5 linked regions of the Ovis aries genome follow. The protein of the gene in region 2 purifies or fractionates together with the protein of the main gene of each other region. This does not show direct contact. Links are inferred from orthologs where the notes say so. Each region holds a gene or a part of one and is shown on either strand. Other genes may lie near its edges.

The links. Proteins that work in one complex are often made in the same cells at the same time.
Region 1: the proteins of KAT8 (region 2) and MSL3 purify together in Homo sapiens (affinity purification with mass spectrometry; 4 studies listed by BioGRID and IntAct, with this or other methods). This does not show direct contact. The link is inferred for Ovis aries from reciprocal best matches to the Homo sapiens genes KAT8 and MSL3.
Region 3: the proteins of KAT8 (region 2) and KANSL1 purify together in Homo sapiens (affinity purification with western blotting; 4 studies listed by BioGRID and IntAct, with this or other methods). This does not show direct contact. The link is inferred for Ovis aries from reciprocal best matches to the Homo sapiens genes KAT8 and KANSL1.
Region 4: the proteins of KAT8 (region 2) and PHF20L1 purify together in Homo sapiens (affinity purification with mass spectrometry; 3 studies listed by BioGRID and IntAct, with this or other methods). This does not show direct contact. The link is inferred for Ovis aries from reciprocal best matches to the Homo sapiens genes KAT8 and PHF20L1.
Region 5: the proteins of KAT8 (region 2) and PHF20 purify together in Homo sapiens (affinity purification with mass spectrometry; 3 studies listed by BioGRID and IntAct, counting the BioPlex papers as one, with this or other methods). This does not show direct contact. The link is inferred for Ovis aries from reciprocal best matches to the Homo sapiens genes KAT8 and PHF20.

The regions. Positions count from the first base shown.
Region 1 is NC_056080.1:9,915,682-9,919,955, reverse strand, and holds part of MSL3 (male-specific lethal 3 homolog), read right to left. Parts: intron 3,605-4,274; coding exon 3,342-3,604; intron 2,557-3,341; coding exon 2,447-2,556; intron 1-2,446. UniProt on the Homo sapiens protein: Non-catalytic component of the MSL histone acetyltransferase complex, a multiprotein complex that mediates the majority of histone H4 acetylation at 'Lys-16' (H4K16ac), an epigenetic mark that prevents chromatin compaction.
Region 2 is NC_056077.1:27,733,220-27,738,249, reverse strand, and holds the start of KAT8 (histone acetyltransferase KAT8), read right to left. Parts: upstream 3,035-5,030; 5' UTR 3,017-3,034; coding exon 2,806-3,016; intron 1,591-2,805; coding exon 1,516-1,590; intron 1,434-1,515; coding exon 1,258-1,433; intron 1-1,257.
Region 3 is NC_056064.1:45,870,092-45,874,365, forward strand, and holds part of KANSL1 (KAT8 regulatory NSL complex subunit 1), read right to left. Parts: intron 2,633-4,274; 5' UTR 2,550-2,632; coding exon 1,261-2,549; intron 1-1,260. UniProt on the Homo sapiens protein: Non-catalytic component of the NSL histone acetyltransferase complex, a multiprotein complex that mediates histone H4 acetylation at 'Lys-5'- and 'Lys-8' (H4K5ac and H4K8ac) at transcription start sites and promotes transcription initiation.
Region 4 is NC_056062.1:21,560,092-21,564,365, forward strand, and holds part of PHF20L1 (PHD finger protein 20-like protein 1), read right to left. Parts: coding exon 4,225-4,274; intron 2,862-4,224; coding exon 2,719-2,861; 3' UTR 1-2,718.
Region 5 is NC_056066.1:65,008,656-65,012,929, reverse strand, and holds part of PHF20 (PHD finger protein 20), read right to left. Parts: intron 1,333-4,274; coding exon 1,219-1,332; intron 140-1,218; coding exon 1-139. UniProt on the Homo sapiens protein: Methyllysine-binding protein, component of the MOF histone acetyltransferase protein complex.

The DNA of each region.
Region 1 (4,274 bases), on a different chromosome or scaffold from region 2:
TGAATCAGCTCTCTCAAAGATGCATTATGGGGGAAAATAACAGGTTTCCAGTGGAGGAAGTCTCAACCAGGGTGTGCACAGTAATCGCCTGTGATCTCAACCAGGACTACGCCAGTCCAAACCCTCCCTGGTGCGGCTGGGCGGCAGATGACATTGGGAGAGTGAGTCTCAGGTGGTCAGGATGCAGGGCCCTGGGGAAAACATGCTGCAATGGAGGCTTTATGCAGATGGAATGCACCAAGGTCTCATCATGAGGGCCTGTCCAACCCCAACCACTTTTTCACTAGACTTTGTAGCTGTACCTACCACCACCAGATGGCGGCGTTGCAACAGTGACCAGAGTGGGAATGGCTGTGCCTCAGTATTCAGATGTTTTCTGGGGGTCCCCAACTTTTTGGCACCAGGGACCAGTTTTGTGGAAGACAATTTTTCCATGGCCCTGGGGCGGGGGACAGTTGGGGATGATTCAAGTGCATTAGATCTATTGTGTGCTGTATTTCTATTATTACATCAGCTCCACCTCAGCTCATCTGGCCTAAGATCATGGAGGTTGGGGACTACTGTAAGAAACAGGATTCTTCTTGAATAAAAACACCTGCAGGGCTTTCTAGTCTGAAAAAAGGAAAATTAGGGACTGCTTGCACTAGGAATTTCCTAACCTTCCCTCAACATCACTGGAACATGAACTGGGTTTTCTAGCAGAGGTCAGTCAACTTATAGCCCGTGAGCCAAAGCAACCCCCTCATGCTAAAAACAACTGTTTTTAAATGTTTTTTTTTAAATTAAATGACTACTACTTCATAACATATAAAAATCATATGAAAAAAAATAAAATAAAAAAATAAAAATCATATGAAATTTGATTACTAGCACACATGAATATTCATGGGAGGGACTGATGCTGAAGCTCCAATACTTTGGCCACCTGGTGTGAAGAACTGACTTATTGGAAAACACCCTGATGCTACGAAAGATTGAAGGCAGGAGGAGAAGGGGACGACAGAGGACGAGATGGTTGGATGGCGTCATCGACTCAATGGACATGAGTTTGAGTAAGCTCCAGGAGTAGGTGATGGACAGGGAGGCCTGGCATGCTGCGGTCCATGGGGTCCAAAGAGTTGGACACGACTGAGCAAGTGCACTGAGACCGAGCACACACGAATGAATTTTGGGGCCACCCAGCACACCCCTTTATGAACTATTCACACCACTTTCACAAGCTGATGCACAACCCTGAAAATATTTACAATCTGACCCTTTATAAGAAAAGTTTGCTAACCCCTGTCACCAACCATTCTGTCTGGTAAAGCCATCCTCCCCTGTGCACAGAAACAAGGAAAGCCCACTTGCTAGGCAAGATTCATACAATACCCCAGTGGACTAAGACATTTCCTGAACTCCTTAAATACTCGCTATGTATCTCAGTTAACTGGCCTTAAAAATAGTTTCAAACTGAAGCTTTCTTGTCTGTAAAAGGGAACTCTGCTGGTAAGGTTATTCTCAAGAACGTGAGGTAATTTAGATCAAGTGCCTGGCACAATGCTAGCATACAGCATGCCCTCAAAGGGATGGCTATTAATATTACTGTTAAAGATGGGTTTTATATTTCTAAATGGTTAAGACCAAAAGTAAAATATCACATAAATAAAAAATTATCTGATATGCAAATGGCAGTGTCCATAAACATGGTTTTATTGCAACACGGCACACTCATTCACTTACACAGTGTCCGGGGCTGCTTTGGAGGTGGGGAGTCTCAACAGTGACTATGTAGCCCACAAGGTTGAAAATATTTACTCTCTGGCTTTTTGCAGAAAAACTGTACTGACAACTGTTCTATAAAATAACAATACTCCTATTTCAATACTTGGACTTATTTGAAATAAAAGAGGAATGGAAGTACAGGGCTATAATCCTAACCACTGTCTCATTTTCAGTTCAGTTGCTCAGTCGTGTCCGACTCTTTGCGACCCCATGAATCGCAGCACACCAGGCCTCCCTGTCCATCACCATCTCCCAGAGTTCACTCAGACTCACGTCCATCGAGTCCGTGACACCATCCAGCCATCTCATCCTGGGTCGTCCCCTTGAGCCTCGGTAGTGTAGCGATTAGGCAGACGGGCAGGTGGACAGGCAATCTGGCTCCGTAGGTCAGGAGTTCGAATCACCTGCTTGACCCTTTAAGCGAGCCGCAGTAGTGTAGCGGTTAGGCAGGCAGGCAGGCAGTCTAGGGTCCAGAGGTCAGGAGTTCGAATCCCCGTGGTAACTGTCTCATTTTAGATACCACAAATACAATGTTGCACATCATACAAAAAATTCTGTTAATATCTATGGCAAGAGTAACAATGTTTCTTCTAAGCAAACATGATTTCATCTTGTAAGACTTTTTAAGAAAACACAAAAGGAAGGGTTCAATGCAGGTGAACAACAGACACTAATGCTTTACCTCATTTATTTCATTAGTTCTTCTGCCTTCAAAGCCAGCAAACACAGCACTCCCTTCCTTGCTAGGGGTCAGAGGAACAGGCGAGGATGATCTGCTATGAACAGGTGTCTCTTTAAAAGGAAAAGACTTTAATTAGTCACCAATTAATTATCCACTAATTAATCATACAGCTACCGAATTAAAGATTGCTGGAAGACCTTTACAAACAGCAGAGAAGTTTTTAATTTTTACCAATAAGACTTCCCTGTCAAGGACAGTACCTGGAATATTATTTGATGGAAAAAAGGAAAGAAAAGGAATCAAGTTCGGAGATATCCCTAGTGGCTCAGACAGAATTCACCTGCAATGCAGGAGACCTGGGTTTGATCCCTGAGTTGGGAAGATCCCTTGGAGAAGTGAATGGCAACCCACTCCAGTATTCTTGCCTGGGAAATCCCATGGACAGGGGAGCCTGGCAGGCTACAGTCCAGGGGGATCACAAAGAGTTGGACACAACTGAGTGACTAACACTTTCATTTTCACACTTCACTGGGATAAACTACGTACAACATGATGAAACTTGAAAACATTGTATGTTAAGTGAAAGAAGCCACGGACAAAAGGCCACGTATTGCATGATTCCACTGATGAAGTCATGCCTAGAAGAGGCAGACCCATACGTACAGGACGTTAACTAGTTCAGGGCTGGAGAGAGGGACTGCAAACAGACGTGAGCCAGAGCGAAACTGGTCAGTACCAGGAATCCTGATTGTAGAGCTGAAGACGTGGGGGGCGGGGGGGGGGGGCTCCCATCTCCCGCTGGACTGGGTTCAGGAGCACGGTGCCTGACCCAGACCAAGCACAGAGTCCACATCAGCTCTCCCCGGTATGGCCCTCCTACGGGCAGTGGACCTACTCTTTTCCAGGTGCAGGAACAGCTTGGGCATGCTGGCAGATGTGTCCTGCTGCCGGCGCTTGGGCTGGGGTGAGGCGCTGCTCTCAGACAGCCTGTCGCAGTTGGCAGAGTGGCGCGTGGACCGCCTCAGAGACTGCAAGGCTTCCGGCTCGCCTTTGCGCCTTTTGGGGGTGGTTGGTTCACCTGACGTTGGCTGACTCTCTGTGGACTGTGGTGTGGATGGATTCAGCAAAGGTGGGCTTGGAGAGAGCTCCTCCTGGTTCCTACAGAAGGAAGGGGAAAGCATCAGATGCACCCAGTCCACAGAATCTCTGCCAAGCCTGGAGGGGTTCCTCAATGTCCTTCTTCAGACAGAAAACACAGCCTCCACTCCACTCCAGGAGGCTTAGAAACTTTCACTTCCAGACGTGCCAAAACAAATACTTTCTTAAAAGGTACCTAAACATTATTATACCATTTTCACCCTTTAACTCTTCAAGGCACCCTGGCATTAAAGGCTGTGATATCCTTTGTCCTTGTTTTGTTTCAGTGGTTCACAACTCAGGGGTGATTCTACTCTGGGGGGAACACAGACACCTTCTGGAGTCAGTTTTGATGGTCACAACTGGGAAAGTGCCATTGGCATCCAGTGGGTGGAGGCCAGGGATGCAGCTTGCCATCCTACAGCGCATAGTTCAGCCTCCGCCACCAATAATGATCCAATTAAAAATATCGGTCGAGCCAAGGCTGAGAAACCATGGTAAGAATACAACATCATTGTGTCACAGTGTAACCACTGATAGGACTAGAATGCCACAAACGTTGGCCACATTTTGTGGAAACACACAGTCCACTCTAGACACTGGGAATCTTGAGGTTTGGAGGAGGGTGTGGGGACATCAACATAGGTCCCCACTGAGTCACACAGGCCTCCCAAATGGGGTGGAACCAACG
Region 2 (5,030 bases):
AAGTTATTCCGTTTTTTAAATTTAAATGACCACAACCCAATGCAACTCATCTTGCATTCTACTAATAGCTGTGCCCCACAGTCTGCAAACCATTGCTGCAAAACCCACAATGAGTGCTCAGGATGCAATTGCACTGGGTGAAAATAACAAAAATCTGGGTTCCTTAAGAGCTTCATAAAGCCTCTTCTCATCTGCACACTCCATTTCACAAATCAAGAAACTGAGGCTCAAAGTGGGAGAAAAGAAACCCCCCAGGGGCAGGCTGGCTTCAAGAAAAGAACCCAAATTTTGTTTCTTTTTTTTTAGCCCAGAGGCATGAGGGATCTTAGTTCCCCAACCAGGGATTGAACTCACACCCCCTGCATTGGAAGGACAGAGTCTTAACCACTGGACCACTAGGGAAGTCCCCAAATCCAAGCTTTGGAAATAAATGGCAGGAGTTTCTAGGCTATTTCCAAGTCAAGACTAAGGGCTTGTGCCCCAAAGTAGAACAATCTAGTTGGCAAATCTAATTCATGACTGGGTTCCTAAAACTACCTGCACCTCCCTTATAAACTGGGGATATAGTTTACCTCACAGAGTTGCTGTGAAATTTCAATGAGATCATGTTCTAGAATACTTAGCCTAATACTGTGGCTCACAAGCCAATAAATGTGCCATTATTACTCTAATTTCAGCCCACCCTTTTATATACTAGCTGTGTGACCTTGGGCAAGTTACTTAACCTCTCTGAGTCTGCTTCCTGCTTTCCTCAAAAAGAATTAATTAGCTCTGTGGCATTAAGTTGTTACAGAAGACCTGATGAGCTTATCCAGGCACAGCACTCAGCACAAGGGTTGGCGATTGCAAGCACCCCTAAATCACTCATTCTCTTCCTTCCCTTGGAACTTGCAGGTCCGTTTGTCAATGTGGCACAGCCAAGAGGGGCATAAATGCTGCAAGAGGCCTGAGTTCCAGTCCCAGCTGTGTCAGTTTCTTGCCACAAGACTATGGCCAAGCTCTCACCCTCTCTGAGCCTCAGTTTTCTCATCTGTGAAGAATACCTGGGAGGAGATAGATAGTCCCCCATATACTGCAGGAGCTTAAGCAATGGGAGCTGCTGTGGGTGTGGCACCAGGACCCAAGTTAGTCTGGAGAGGATGCTGAGCCTCCTGGGGCCCTGGGAAAGGGGAGGGACCCGGGGAAAGGGGTGGGCCCAGGGGAAAGGGGTGGGACCTGGGGAAGGGGAGGGACCTGGGGAAGGGGAAGAATCCGGACCTTCTGCACGTGGTTGATCTCATCATGCTTGCGTTTTTGGTTGCGAGTGATCTTGCGCTCCGGCTGCTCAGCCAGCTCGCTCAGGTACTTCTCTGAGTTCTTCTGCACAGCATCTTTCACTGTTTTGGTCAGCGCCAGCCGGTTCTTGTCGACCCATTCATCCAATCGCCGGTTAACTGTGAGGATGGGTCATGAGGGTGCTGCCCTTTCACGTTCTCCCCCAACCCCGCACCCAGACCTGAATACCCTGTCACTCACAGCCCACGTAGTGTACATAGAATTCCTCTCGGCCTTCTTGATCGTTCACTCGAGACTGGATCACTTCAGCAGAATCTGTGAAGGGAAAAGGCTAGGATCACCAAGAAAGAACACCGGGCTGGAACGAGTGACACTGAGGGGCAGGTTGCCAGATTCTGAGGCCAGATTCCGAAGCTAACCTCATCTGTTCACCTCTGCCACTCCCTTCAAACACTGTCTTGAGGTGGGCCAGATTGGGGCTCTTATTCTTATACTAGGGACAAGGAAACTGAGGCTTACCCATGCTCACCTATTTGAAAAGTAATAAGCACTAATATTTAACCGAATTCAAGTCTGGCTCCAAATTCAAGGTCTGTATTAGTATACTCAGTCGTTCATTTGTTCAGAAGCCATGAGAGCTAGTTGTGGACTCACACAGCCTCACTTCCTAGCTATATTTAACTGAACAAGTTATTTCGGCTTTCTGAGCCTCAGCGCTTTCATGTGTAAATAAGGATAACAGCGCCCCCCTCAAACGGTGATAAGCTTTCAGTACAGCAGCACCAAATGGCAGACCATTCAACAAATGACTAAGGCAACCACTGCAAGTCTGGCCCTGAGCTGGGTTGCTGCTGGGTACATAAGATACACTGATGAATCATGAGCGGTCCTGCCCTCCAGAAGTTCACACTTTGATAGAAGACAGACAATGACAACACAATGGTACATATACCGTAGCTCAGGTATAAAGAAAATGTTGCAGGAATATACAGAAGGGAACGATGCACTCTGCCTGAAGGGAGTCAAGAATGGCATCACAGGGGATATGATGCTAAAAGGATGAGTGGGGCTAGCCAGCAGTAAAAGGCATATGGTCTTAAGAGCCTGGTCTGGTCCGTCAATGGCCTTTGCTAGGAGTGCTAAAAAACAGAAAGGTGACAAAGACGAAGGCCATTCTAAGGTATTTGGGGATTATTCTGGAAATGACGCAAAAAAACAGAAGGGAGGGGAAGTTAGTTTTTGTGTTCCGGGAGGTCCTCTCCGCTGGCGGCTGTAGGATAAAAGGGGAAGTCACAGACACAAGGGAGACCAGCGAGGAAGCAGGTTAACAAAAAAAAAAAAAAGGGAATGAAGCCTAAGACTTGGCAAGTGGAATGGGAGCTCTAAAACACAGAAGGAAGACTTTGGTTAAAGCCCAGGCGGCGGGGATTGTAGGCGGCGCCGGGGCAAGTCCAAAAGACAGTGTTCTAACCCCCTCAGGCCCCGCCCCGCCCTTAGGCCCCGCCCCCTGGCCTTGGGCCCCGCCCTCACGCCAGGTGCTATCGGGCCGCCGGCACAGGTAGGTTTCTCCGATCTCCACGGTGACTTCCGGCTCGCCGCGCGCCGGGGTCGGCGGAGAGATGCGGCCTGGGGACGGAGCGGTCCCCTCGACCGCCGCATTCTCCCCGGGTCCGGGCTCGCCCTCCCCCGAGACCCCTGAAGTCGCTGCCGCAACCGCCGCAGCTGCTCCCTGTGCCGCCATCGTTGTAGTGGAAGTGACGCCAGAATATAGCGCCGCGTAGCGCCTTTAGATCCGGGTCAGCGACGCGTGGCGGAGCCCGCAGCAAGCTGGAGGGCGGGGTCTGTGACGTGGCAGGAGCTCGTTGGTTAGTGTGAGTGTCTCCGCGGCGCCGGGCCAGATTGACGTTGACTGTGCCGGTTACATTGGAGTTTCCTGTTTGGAATTGTGGCTGCACCCTAGAGTTAAAAGAGAGGAGAAAGGCTTTCCTGATGTGATGTCTCAGCTCTATCTTTTTAAGACTTCTGGTGCCTGAGGAAGCCAAGATGTGCCAGTTATCGGGCGGCGCTGCCCCCAGTTTACCGGGGCAGAGCCAGAGCAGCCTCCCTGGATGCCTGGCTTCAGGGCAATGAGCCTGAGGTTAACACCCATCCCATGCAATTCCACCAGCCAAATACTGGTCTCCCGTTTTTAAAGACTGAAGAAACTGCGTTCCTTGTTCAGGATGGGAAAAGGAGATCGGATTGGGGAAGCAGGCCCAATTAATCACTCGCACAGAATCAAGCCTTTGTAAAGAAATGACCAAGTTCCCTAAAGAGAAACTAGTCAAAGGCCCTGGACATAATAGAGAGAGTCTTGGGCTTAATGAGTGAGGAATCCTGGGTTCTGACCCTACACTGGGAGTGTCCATTCCCAGAATGTCGTTAAATGTTACACTGTATAAGCCATATAACCATAAAGATTGAACCATATGTTTATCTCTACGTATATAAAACAAGTGCGTGTTGCACAATAGCAGACAGGGTAAGGTATTCAATAAACATTCCTTTTGGCCACTCTGAGTCATATCTGACTTGTAATTTGGCTATTGGGCTTAGAAACAATTCTAAGAGGAGTGGAATGCTTAAGGTCTAAGGATGAGGTTACCGATCAGGAAACATCTAAGTATCTGTGAGTGATGGCAGTGGGAAGAGCTGGTAACTTGGCTTTGGGAAAATAAAGGAGTTTGGAGGGAGTGGTAAATGCCCTTCTGGCAGCATATGAAACAGAAGAAATAAGTCAGGCAAGAAAAAAGTTTAAAATTAAGACTGTAGTACTTGTTCCCTCTCCACCCACCCCTAGAACTATGTTGATGATTCACACAGATCCCACAGAATCATTTTTTGTTGCTTCCTTGTGCTCATATTACCTTTGATGTGCTTTCAGAAGTCAGCACCAGAGGCTTGTTTGGTGAAAAGTCTCTCAAGTTAATGGAACTGTTTTGCTTTGAAAGAGCTGAAAATGGAAGTTCTCAGTCTGGGAGTTTTAAGTACCTGCCCAATCAAATATGGACAATAAACAAATGATATCCAGCAGAGGAGTCCATCAATGACTGTGCTGCTTACCTCTTTTGCCTAGCCTCCTGCCCTTCCCTTTCCTGCCTCCCCTACTCCCTTCTGGAAGCACTTTCTCAACAAATTGCTTGGGTACAAATCTTTGTAAGATGTGCTTCTAGGGAATCCAGGGCTTCTTTGGTGGCTCAGCTGGTAAAGAATCCACCTGCAATGCGGGAGACATGGGTTCGATCCCTGGGTTGGAAAGATCCCCTGGAGAAGGGAAAGGCTACCCATTCCAGTATTCTGGCCTGGAGAATTCCATGGACTATATAGTCCATGGAGTCACAAAGAGTCGGACACGACTGAACAATTCACTCTAGGGAATCTAACCTCCCTTCCTAGCTTCAAACCCTTCCATGGATCCCTGCTACCTCCAGGATATAACTCACACTTCTTGGGCTATAATTTCAAGGTCTTTCACCCTGACTCCCATCTGCCTCTCCAGCCTCCCCGTCCTCCTCCTCCCAGCACTGCAGCAACAAGATTTTCAGCCTGGCAAATCACTAGGGTTTCCCACCACCAGATACAATTTCTGTCTCCTCTCAGTCCCCCACTTCCATCACCAGTCCCACCAAGCAGGCTTTAGGCCTTCTTCCTTCCTGGCAAGATGGGTGGGAGGGGGGTCACCACCACCTGCTCCCTGGAGCCCTTTGCCCTCTCTA
Region 3 (4,274 bases), on a different chromosome or scaffold from region 2:
ATCTGCTTTAGACCTGAATAGAGAAGTGGACTCTTGAGCACACTAAGCCTGCAAGTGATAATGGCACTTGGTCTACCTGGGAAAAAATTCAGCACGATTATCCAGACTTTTTTCACTCAAAACAGAAACATAACCCAAATTTCATACTCAGATACAGTGTTATCCATGTTTATAACAAACTGGAGGAAAACAAAAGGAAATCTACTTATGCTTAGAAGCATAGCTGTCTCAGTAAAGTCTCCAGTGAAAATCTTAAGTCACCTTTTAATTACAGGCAAGGGACAGTCAACTATTCCAACACAGCCACCTACTTCAGTCTTCTCTAGCAATCCAAATTTTACAACATTCCCACCCAAAAAGGATCTACTAGTCAACTCTTCTGCCCTCTTTTCCAACTATTCATCTCCCTCTCTCATGAAGTCTAAATAAATGCAGATCTATCTTTAAGGAGATATACTGTACTTTCTTATCTTAGCGCTAAATATAGGAGCTAAATATAGGAGGTAAACCATGTATGTCTCTACCAGGTTCATGTAAAGTGCCACTTAGAGCTTATGGAGAATTTTCCTCAACCCAACACATTTTGAAAATCCAGTAAGAATTTATCCCAAATACGTAAATACATTTAACTTAGTTGAAAGAAAATAAAACCCAAATCTGATAAAGTTAGGAAGAGAATCAGGTTGTGTGATAGCATAGCACGCTTGGAGACAACCTACAAAATACTCTGAAGCACTTCCTGATTATTAGTCCTTATTTTTTTAATAAGGAAATCTCAAATGTCAAAATTGAAAACCAGGTACATTCTCTGCTAAAAGCTCAATTAAAAGCAACCATAAATTCCAGAGAACTTAACTAGGTCAACCAAACTTTCGCCCCACTTACTAGAAACAACAATCCGAAGTCAAGCCTCACAAACTTACAAAACATCTACATATGGTTTCAAAAGAAATCTAATTATTCACTGTGAAAGAAGAATGGGTAGTTTTACAAACTGGAAATCATCTAGTTTTCTCTTAATAAGATTTCCATGGGAAATTAGCAGCTTTTATCCTACAGCAACACAAAACCAAAAATACCTTCCATTTCTTCACTAGCAGGTATATATGTACCCCCCCTACCTAAAATTAGGAAAAAGACAAACAGATTCTAGGCACCCATCATACCATGAAGTCCTATCTTCCCATGATGGGAATTCACCAAGTCTTTCTCCCTCGTCTGAACGTTTCTGAAAAAGACATTATGTGTGGTTCTACTCACAGGGGTACGTGGCGCTGCTCAGGGTCAGCTCTGGCCAGTTCCTCCTCTTCGATATCAGACTCTCCTCCTGAACTACTGTCTGTGATGTCGGAATCAAACGCTCGTTCACTGCACCTCAAGTTGGCTACACCACTGGCTGTAAATCTCTCCAATTCTTCTGAAATCGAGTCACTTTTCAGGAAGTTGCTAAGTCCCTCTGAAGCAGCGGTCTCACTGGCAGCTTTTCTCAATGCAGCTTCGGCCTTTCGAGTCAGCATCAACTGGCTCCGGGGCCTCAAGGATTCCAAGTTTGGCAGCCTGCTTAAAGTTTTCTCTAAAAATCCACCCAGCTGATGCTGTATGTGCCTCTCCACCTGCTTGGCTTGCACAACCTGTAAGCGCTTCTGTAACCTGCGGGCCCGGCTCTCAATGTCAGCCTGCCGCCGCAGTAAAGCTGTTATCCTGGTGTCAGAATCTAAAGCACTGAAAAGGATGGAAGACAGGGGAGGCTTTTTACCCTCTAACTTGACACCCCCCACATTAGAACCAGAGTCTGTGTCAGGTGATAACCTACTGCTTCCTTGAAGTGCCGGCTGTTCCATGGAATTTACAGAAGATTTGTTTGCAGTGCTAGTATTGCTAAATACAGTTGTATGTTCTACATCAAGGCTTCTGTGTGGAAGAGTGCAATTGGTCATAGCCCCTTTCAAGTCCCCAGACTCAGATGCCACCACCTCACCCCCCTGAAGAGAAGATGAAGTGAGAGCCCGTTTTCCCCCATTAAGGGGACTGGAATTGTCATGATCAGAATGTGTTGAACTTTTAGTCAATTTCTTCGCCAACCCATTTACAGGTGCTTGTGGCAGAGCTGTCTGACCACTTGTATTCATGGTTCTAAGATTTTCTAAGGAAAACTCCAAAACTGGCTGTCTTCCCAACAGCTCAGCTCGGAGTTCATAGGACTGAGATAAGAGAGGGTGAGGTTTGAGTACTGTCTGCTTGCTGAAGACACCTTGCAGCTTCAGTGACTCCTTTGCGGGAACAGCTGTCACATCGGAGCAGAGATAAGACGCCACCAGCGGCTGCAGCTTCCCCAGGTCTTCCTTGGTAGGGTTATTTCGGAAGTCTAGACTGGGGTCCTCTGCAGCGATGGCTTTCCTTTTGGTTCCGTTGGCAGCAATAAGGATGTTGGCGTTGCCGTTATTCTCGGCACTGCCAGGGGACAAAGTGGAGGATGGGGGAGCCAGTTTGAACCGGATATGGTGTGTTTCAGCTGCTGCGTCAGTGAGAGCGGGCGCCATCGCAGCCATTCAGCACAGAGAGACAGGAAGTCCAGCCTCTCCCGGTGCCGAGGCCAGCTCCACAGCCCCTTACCGCCTCCCCAGAGAACAGACTAGAAGAGAAAGAAGAAAAGGAAGTTAGAAATACAAACACATTAGAAAACAACACACATGTTTTTAATACAAACATCATGGAGGCTGTTAACCAAACTCTGTCTTCAAGAAAACACTCAAACCAAAAGGGGAGGGTGTTGGGGCGGGGCCACAGCTCTACAAAAGAAAGAATTCCATCCTTCCTTTTAGTCACTTGTTACTATAAATTAAAAGTAGTCACAGACTGTTAAAGTCAGATCATCTGCATTTAAGAAAAAAACAGCTTTAAAACTTCTTGAAATTAGTGAATTTAAAGCAAATGTATCAAACTAAACACCAGGAATCAAACAGAAAAGAATTAGAATTCCTCATTCCCTACCCAAAGTTTGTATGCCAGATGTCTGTACATTTCTGGCCGAAGGATCCAATGTTTGTCAGCTTCTCTGTAAGACAGATCATACTAAAAGTTTTACTGTATCACACCTGTAATGCCAGTTTATTTCATCTATTTTCTTTTTTTCCCACTGTTCTCAGTATAGCCCACCTCTCAAATTAATTGCCCAATCAATGTGTCTCTTTTCTTCACAACTTCTTGAAAGAAGAGTTATAAATAGCTGCCTCTGCCCTTCTCACTCTTCTGTAATCTGCCTTCTACTCCTATGGCTCTGGCAAAGGTCACAAGCAATCTCATTATCAAATCCCATGCTCAAGTCTCAGTCCCCATTCTATCTGACTTCTCTGAAGCATTAGGTAGTGCTGACCACCCCACTCTTCTGGAAATTCTTCTTTCCCGATGTCCTTGACAGCAAGGTCCCTTCTGCCCTCTTCTCTCTCAACTCACTTCCTTGGCAACAATCTTGATAGCAACGTGTAAGTCCTCTGGTCGCTCAGAAAAACACCGTCAGCTACACTAATCAACATCCTCACCTCTGTGTACCTCAAGCCCCCTGAAGCTCAAAACTGAATTTCTTTTTACTTCTCACCCAGTTTTATCATCTCAGGAAATTGCTTTCACTGAGTAAGCCCAGCTAAAAACCTCAGCAGTGTGCCTCTTCTTCATCCCTTTTGATTTATCTGGTCTGAGAGTAAAAGGAAATCTATGTCAAGAACTAAGCCAGCAGGTACTAAAGTGCGGCCTACAAACTTCTTGAGAGCTCAAAGACCATTTCAGAGTTCCACAAGATCAAACTTTTCATAATAATATTAAACATTATTTGCCTTTTTCCACAGTGTTGATGTTTGCGATAGGGATGCAAAAGACAAGTCTGAGCAAAACTGCTGGTACCTGAGCAAAAATCAAAGCAGAGATACCTAACTGTACTAATAGCCTCTGGTCACTGTATTCTTTACTCATTTAGTTTAAAAATAAAACTTTTTTTAAAAGGTTATTACAATGACCTTTGATATCCTTGATGAAATACAGAAATTCTGAACTTTATTAAATCTCCACTCAAGTCTTCAGTGCGTGTCTATACGTTTATCTATATATTCTGTGCAATGAAAGGGAAAGTACACATAAAGCACTTCTACTGCTTTAAGAAAACTGAGTTACAAGTTGAACTAGAAGCTTCTTCCATGTAACTATTTTTACTTGGCAGAACAACTGACAAACTATGATTATACAGACTTGAATATTGAGTAGACATTTTCTTGCAAATGAAC
Region 4 (4,274 bases), on a different chromosome or scaffold from region 2:
AGCAGAACCACACTGTGAGTATGAAGAAGTACAAACTATACTTATCAGTAGCAGACTAAGAAGGATCTCTCCCTACAGTGTCTGTCTACTCTGTCTGGGTGGCAATGAAAAGTTACCTTTTCAAGAAACACCCTCCCTAGTTTACTGCTTATATTTAGATGTATATACTCACATTTTTTTTAAAGTAAGACTACGTGGAAAGAAAACCAACTCCTCCGAAACCTCTCACAATGGACTGACTTGTCAAAAACAAATTCACTCACCTAAATACAGAATGAGTCAGCAGCCTATCGTTGCTAAAAGGCTTCAACCAATTTTTGATACACTCTGTATTATTAATAAATGGAGATGTGCGTATAAGTAATTCAATACAGATTTACTTTAAAATATAAATTAAAAACTTCAGACTCCCAATTCATTAAAGCAGAGCAAGAATTCAATATTCTAATTATTAATGAAACTTCTAGTCAGCTGGCTATCAAAGTGATCTAATTTTAAAATGTCCCAAGAAAAAATGCACATTAATTTAACTATGGTCATCAGGGGCTGAGAATATGAGTGTTACTAGGCACAAAAGGTCCCTCGAGCATGTGACAAGAATCTGGGCAACACCACTGTTCACAGCCTGTTAAGAATGCTATTTGTTCCATTCTGAAAAACAGATAAATGTCTAGAATTTAACAACAGGGGAAAGATTAGGGTCATTATTTTAAAACACAAATGAAAAAATAGAGTATCAACCCTGAAAAAGAGACATTAGAAAGTTTACTCCACATGTGAAACACAGGCACTATCTTTTTTTACTTTAATCCTCATATTTAATAACTACCTTGTATCTCCTCTACTAAAGCTTTTCATTTCTCAGTAAGGTCTCTCACAATGGTAATGCATCATAAGTAAATACACAGGGCTGTATTTTACGTCTGTGATCTTTGGCACATGGGTCAAGTCGGAGAATCTCAAAAGGCAATAAAAATTTCTAGTTACTGCTTTGCACATTCTTTTAATCATCTTTACATCAAAATATAAGGCCGCAAAAAGGCAAGCTGAAATTTTATGATATGTGGAATTGTTTTAATAAAGAGTTTTACATACAGTACCTTACATATAGAACAGTGTGTTTGCAGTTTTAAATAATATCTGAATGTACAGTGGCATGTATTCTTATCAAAGATAAATTCAAGTTGACTGTCTATCAGTTCTAAAATGCATTTATACAGATTGCTAGAACTGATAAACAGGATGAGGCATAAAATATTCAAGTGTTAACATGTCATCAAATAGCCTCCTCTTAACAGTCTTTTCTCCCCCCTTTTTAAAAAAGTTTCAAAACCTATACATAACATTTTTAATTTTTTAAAAACAGTCTGTTAAAAGGTAACATTTCATGTTAACCACCAACTCTTATAGACTATAGTAATAAAACTAGATATGTGTAGATATAAATATGTCGATTATGTACACATGTATGCTGAGTGTTTGTTTCAAACAAGCATACACACTGAACGCACACCTGCGCGAGCATGGGGGCGGCACACGCCTCGCAAGAGCACTGGCAGACGGAGGCCAGGCCGAGATCCAGCAAGAGCTAACGCAGCAACTTAGTTGCCTTTGGTTTCAGAAATCTGTCCATTTGTGATCAAAGCTACAAGTTTTGAGTGCCTTATGTATTTTTTAAAAATAAAATTCATCTTCAGAAATGAAGCTTTTCCAGTATTCCACTACCAGCAGTTTAAAAAAAAATCCACAGCCACAAATTATTTTGTTATTTTTGTCACTCCTCATCCCAGCTGAGGCTATTTACTTTTTTTTTTCTGAAGGCAAATATCAAGCACACTCAGGGTCAAACTGTACATTGAAACCTGAATGCTGAACTCTGACTATATATATTCTATATATAGTATACGGGATAGACGCGTCTCTGATGGACTGATGGCATTATGTAAGACTTGGGTGAGAGAACTCCCACAGTTGTTTAAATCTCTCTTTCCAGCAGTATCGTTATTTGGCACACTGACAATTCCGCGAGCCATTCTGTGTTTTACAATGAGTTTATAATGCCAGCAATGGATTCCAATTATTTCACGGTTTTTAAAACATACTCATAACGAAGTAAGGGTGCCACAGCTGTTCTCCTCGGAAGTGAGACTTCTACTGTCAGTTTTCTGGCCAAGGACATTCATCACCTAAGAAACAGTTCATGATCCCATAAAAGTTTAATACTCTGGACTTCAGTGCAGCTGGATCAACTGCAGAGAAGACAGTTCTTACAACAACCTTACAGAACTCTCCACAATTTAAATCTCCTCTACAATTTTCGTTTTGGCCAAATGCTGGTTTATAAACATAGATCTTTCTACTAAGAACTGTAAGAATGCACCGTATTTCTTCCTACAGGTATCTCGTGTTTCATGTTAGCAACTACTCAAAAATCCTGCCAATCTGATTCCCTCAGCATAGATTCTAATCTACCTCCACTGACCCTGGGCATATGGCACATTGTCATTTGTATCTAGCTCATGAATGTTTTTTAATATTAGCTTCCCTGATAAAGTTGTTCTTCACTTTCCTTTTCAAGGTGCCATCCTATTGATGTCACAAATCAGTAAATGACCAAACATCACTAAGCTTTTAAACTATCCACTTAGCAGCCATGTGGATAATAAAAGTGAGTCGACTGAACAGAGCCCCATTCTTTGCATCACGTGTTCACTGCCATCATACAGAGCAGAGAGTGGCTATCTGCTGTACTTTGCCCATGTCAATTAGGAGTTGTTTGATGTGGCGTTTAAGCTGGGGCAGCCTTGCAAGAGGATCGGGTGGCTCCAACTCCCCTGTGAAATCAAGCCAGCTTTCCAGAACTAAAAGAGAGAAGAGAACACACACATTTACATGGCAACTGAAAACACAGTCAGAAAATGGTATAATGAGAAGGCTGAAAAAATGATGCAGAAAGAGTTCGCTTCCCTTTCTCTAGAAAGCCACAAGCCACCTCTGAGCCATTAAGCATCCTCTGTCCCTCAGCCCATCCTGGTAACCTTTATCTGTTGTTTTACCTGTCATTATTTTAGGTAATTTCCCCCTTTATAGATATAAAATAACTTCATTTTGAGTGTCTCCTTTTACTCACTTCTAGAACAGAAAACAACGTCCCCCGTACCTGCTCAAGATTACTATTAATTTAAGCTTATCATTTCCATCTTAAATGAAACTCAGCTACCCTAACCTTTTTTAGTCCATAAGTTCTTTTTAACGAAAAAAAAGGAGGTGGAAACTTCTTAGTGTCCTCCTGAACCAGTACTTTAAAAAAATGCAAACATACTAGAAATCTAGGCAGAATGCAATTAGTTACATTTTATCCTTTTTATTAATAATAATGGAAAATGGCATCAAGTTGCAATTTTTTCTTCTTTAAAAATCTACTTAAAACTAAACTAACTCTACAGCTAGCTTATAACCAAATGCAGGCTGCTTCTGAAGTGGGTTTCCATTTCCTCTTTTCACAGGGAAAAACAAAGCAGTAGGAACACTAACTTAGTGGGGGGTGAAAGTAGTGCATGCTTTTGCAAATAAAAAGGGGGGTGGGAAATACAATCTATGAGTTTAAAGATGGGAGTCAAAAAGCACAGGAAAAACACTAGATTTGAAATCGAGTAATCTCAATTACTCTTATTTTCTCAACTATAAAATGAGGATATTTTCCCTGTCTACTCCTTAGGGTTCCTGTGTAATGAAATTAAAAATACAGAAGAAAAACATCTGAAAATGTATATGTGAACTAAAAGTTTACCCACTTAACCTAGCAGGAGTTCTTTTTTGTTGTTAATTTCACTTAAAAAACACTGACCAAAGTGAAAACAAAATGTTTTCCCCAATATTTCAAATATGCTTAAAGTCCTTATGCTGACTTTCAAAGAAAACACAGTTCAATGAAATTAATAAATATCCCACATGTGGTATACACTGAGCCTGGCAGATGGACAGTATTTCTTAAGTCCCTACCTTAAAAAAGAAAAATCCCTAAAATAGCCATCAAATACCCTAACTGCCAGATATGCTAAATACAATGCTAAGGAAGCAATAAAGCTCCATCAGTGTGGTCACTGTCTGCAGTTTTTGTCCCATAATTTAAGACTTTAAGGAACATCATGTTATTCATAAGCACACACACAAAAAACACTTTACAGACTACAGCAACTGTGTTTCAGATCCTTCTTAAATTACCGTCAACTTCCTTTTCGATGAGGTCCATCCTGCTGGTGACTTCTTTCTGC
Region 5 (4,274 bases), on a different chromosome or scaffold from region 2:
TTAACCGTATCAACCAAATCTGATACAACCAAGTCAGGATCTAGAATTTCGTGGGTCCCATTAGTGGACAGCCTGGAAGACCGTCTCCTTGATAAGTCTTTGTCAGTGTTTTCCGAGTAGTTTTTTGACTTTTCCTGGGCTATAAACCATTAAGAGAGTTGCAGTCAAGAGACCAGAAGAAATAACTCTGCTACTACAGATTTCTGGGGCTTCCCACGAGATGCTAGTGGTAAAGAACCCACCTACCAATGCAGGAGACATAAGAGATGCAGGTTCAATACCTGTGTTGGGAAGATCCCCTGGAGGAGGAAATGGCAACCCACTCTAGTATTCTTGCCTGGAGAATCTCATGGACAGAGGAGCCTGGCGGGCTATAGTCCACAGAGTCACAAAGAGTCAGACACTACTGAAGTGAATTAGCACACACAGATTTCTGGACTGGCTGCCTTGATAAGGGCTTCAAACAGACTTCTGGCATCAATGATGAAAGGAAATACCTTATCCTGGCTTATAGTTTTAAATAAAGGCACAGTCTTTCTGCCAGGACATAATTTTCCTAATTTAAAGATTTATGATATGAAAATATGTGGGCAAGGTCACATCCCACTTGACAAGTGCTATTTTGGGGCTTTCCAACATAAAAATGTACGTATTAACAACACCCCAAGGCAATAAGGTTTACAGAGCCTTAGAGTCATCACAAGTCCTTTCTGGAACCAATAGGGTATTTTTTAAAAATCAATCAATAGCATTTTTTTTAATGGAAGTATAGTTGATTTACAATGTTGTGATAGTTTCAGGTGTGCATGAATATACAGGTTCATGCACATATATATGCTCTTTTTCAGACTCTTCCACTACACTAGGTTATTTTAAAATATATAGCTCCCTGTGCTAGAGTAAGATCAATAAATATATATTTAAAGTTTCACTCAGCATATGAAATCCATCACTTCCTAAGCCATTAAATTTCCAGTGGAATCCAAATCAGATGGGTATGGAAACGGCATTACTGAACTCAACATTAACATAGCTTGTGCTTTGGGATTTATTTTCCCTCTAGCAAAACTCCTCTGATCCAAACACATCCCATTCACACTAGCCCCTGTGATCAACAAGCCATTAGAGTCTATCAGGCCCAGGGGACAACAAGGACACAGGGGAGCTAACCCAATGGTTGTCAAGTTCCAGCCACACATACACAAACTGAAGACTCACATGAATTTTTGTCAAGCCGAGGACGTTTTAACGGGACTTCATTTCCTTTTGATATTTTCCGTCTTCTCAATTCCAATGTTATTGGTTGCAAAGTTTGAGAGTTTGAATCCACAGCTACAATGTATATAAAACCACACACACACAAAAAGATATGTAGTTTTTTTTGACCAATTTTCATGCTGTATACAAATAAAACATATATATATGTGTGTGTGTATATATATAATATATAGGTATATATGTATATACACACACATCCACACAAATCGTTGCATGATAAATAAACCCTCAAAGGGCATTCTTACTTAAGCCAAAAGGAGTAAAAAGTGAAATGGGTGAGAGATTACTACCTTATAGGAAATGCTGACACCCTGCAGACTGACCTCTGAATCTTTGTGATCTTTCCTATGACCCAGCTCTAGTCATATACTGATCTCCTAAAACCCAGTCCTTAAATATCCTAATATGACTCCTTTAAAATATGAGGGTACAAAGGCAATAGTAAAGTCATTTTTATAACCATCAAATCTTCTCATCAAAATTTGGCTTATCCAGTACTCAGGAAATCCACCATGTAGGCTAATTCTTAAAATGTTGTACCCTGGGACTAAAGTTTGATTATTATTTTCAGCCTCTACTTGCTGAACTGGTCAGTTTGGCATTGGTCCTAGTTTTGAGGGACCAAAGAGAATGTCAACATTTACAACCTCTTAAAAATAATTCCAGAAAAATCTCAGGAGACCACGCTATTTGATAGCCAATGTTCCAGACAAGGCTGCTTAACACTGGCAAATCCAGCACTGACATAATTTTAGCAGTGCAGAAGCTAAACCCTTAGACAGTACTCACTTTTTATTTTTTAAACCTAACGCTTAAGAAGTTCTCTCCCATCAGGAAAGATAAGAATCAAAGAGGCAGGCAGAAGATAAAAAACAAAAGAAAAGAAATTGGGAAGCTTGAAGGAAAGGTAGGGCTACGGGGTCTGATGAAGGTTGAAACGAGAGAAAGCAGCAGCCAGGGGAAGGAAGAGAGGGAAGAGGGAAGGAAATGGGAGGGGAAGAAGGAGGGGGAGAGAGAAGACTCATCTAAGACCAGAAGCTTCAGATCTGCCATGTCAAATGTACAAAGGACAGAGGGTTGAGCTTTGAAGAGGCAAACCTGATGAGAATGCTGATCTCTTTGGTTCTTTGTGTGTTCAAGCTTCTCAATGTGCCAACAGTACTTCGTTCCAAGGGTGGGAACTTAGAGATCACACACATTCCACATTAAATACAAACAACCCTCCCTAAATAGCTCAGATCTGGGTCCAGTAAGGTCTGCATAATCTAGCGAGCTCAAGCCTCCACCATGTCAATTGACTTATTTCAAGCAATTTTTAAAGCGGATTTGAAGTATATGAAATACTGGCAAGCCTTCACATTGATACCATATACAAAACGGGGCTAACCACGCAGAAATTCAATGTTTCCCAACAATGAATTCTTTTTACAGTAAGAATCATCTGGGAAGGTTGTTAATAATTAGTATTCCCAGATCCTGCTCCAGAGATTCTAACGAGAGGAACAGCTCAGACAAGTGTTAACAGTAAGCTTGGAAAACCCCAGTTCTCTATTAAATTTGATCCTATCTTGTGTAACATCGTACACTTAATACAAGCAATAAACTGAATGCCCCATTTTTAATCTGAGTGAAGTAAGGTGGCTTCAGAGAAGCAGTCTGCAGACTGGAATGCAAGTATCCCAGTCTACACTTTCCAGAGAGTACAACCCACTGTAAGAGTAACCAAAGGGGATTCTGTTTCAGAATGCTCAAGTCCCACATACTCACTCTCTTCCCTAAACTATAGTGAGGACACAGCAGGTTTCTGCCTGTTCACACTGTCTACCTTTTCTTGAATAAGTGCCCTTCTCCCACTTACACAAAAAGGCCTGCTTATTTACATCCCACATCATAAAACGGTACACTGCACAGAGGTTTAAAACGTCTAGACCTTCTCAACAGGGGTTCCTCATTTGAAAACAGAACAAAGGTTATTTTCTTAATTCTCCCAAGAGTGGTTTATAACTAGTACCACCACCAACTGGCAGAAGTCAGTTCACTACAGGTTACAGATGCCTTGGGCATTAGAGCTTAATTCTCTGTTGGAATCCTACTGAGAAAGCCAGTGAATTTAGACCACTGCTGTCCAACAGAAATATGAGAGCCACAAATGGAAGCCACAGAGATAATTTTAAATTTTCAGTTGTCACTTGAAAAAGTTAAAAAAGTGAAAATAATTTAAACTTATATTTTATATTTATGTTAAATATATAATTAAAATAGCTACATATTTATATTAAATAGATGAATTATACTGAATAGATTTAAATTTTATATTTATATAAAATATTCTGTAAATATAAAAAGTAACATTTATATACTTAAATATGAATATTTAATTCATATTTAACCCAATGTATCCAAAAATATCATTTCAATATGTAATCAATATTTTTAAACTATTGAGATATTCTACATTCGTGGGTGGGTTTTTTTTTGTTGCTGTTGTTTAGTACTATTTGCAATCCAGAGTGTGTTTTATGGGTTTTGTTTTGTGTTTTGTTTATTTGGCAATGCCATGTGGCTTGTGGGATCTTAGTTTCCAGACAAGGGATTGAACCCAGACTCTGGGCAGTGAAAGCACGGAGTCCTAACCACTGGGCAGCCAGGGAATTCCCTCCAGTGTGTGTTTCCCCATCTCAATTCAGAATAGCCGCATTTCAAGTGCTCAATAACCACAAGTGGCTAGCAGCTACCATACTGGACAGCCTAAGTCTAGGCCCCAGTTAAGCAGAGGTACAATGCTGAGCTATTTGAGAGTGAAAACAACCACTGAAAGGGGAAGTGCCTTATTTCAACTGGGAAGAAATCAAACCATTGTCCAATTTCATACCTTAAAATTAGGACTAAGATGTAAGAAGGCTGCCTACTGGGAATGAGCACTAATACATTTATTTGAAGTAAATAAGAGTTTTTCCACAAAAATTACATATGATGTTGCTGTCTGGATTGACAGA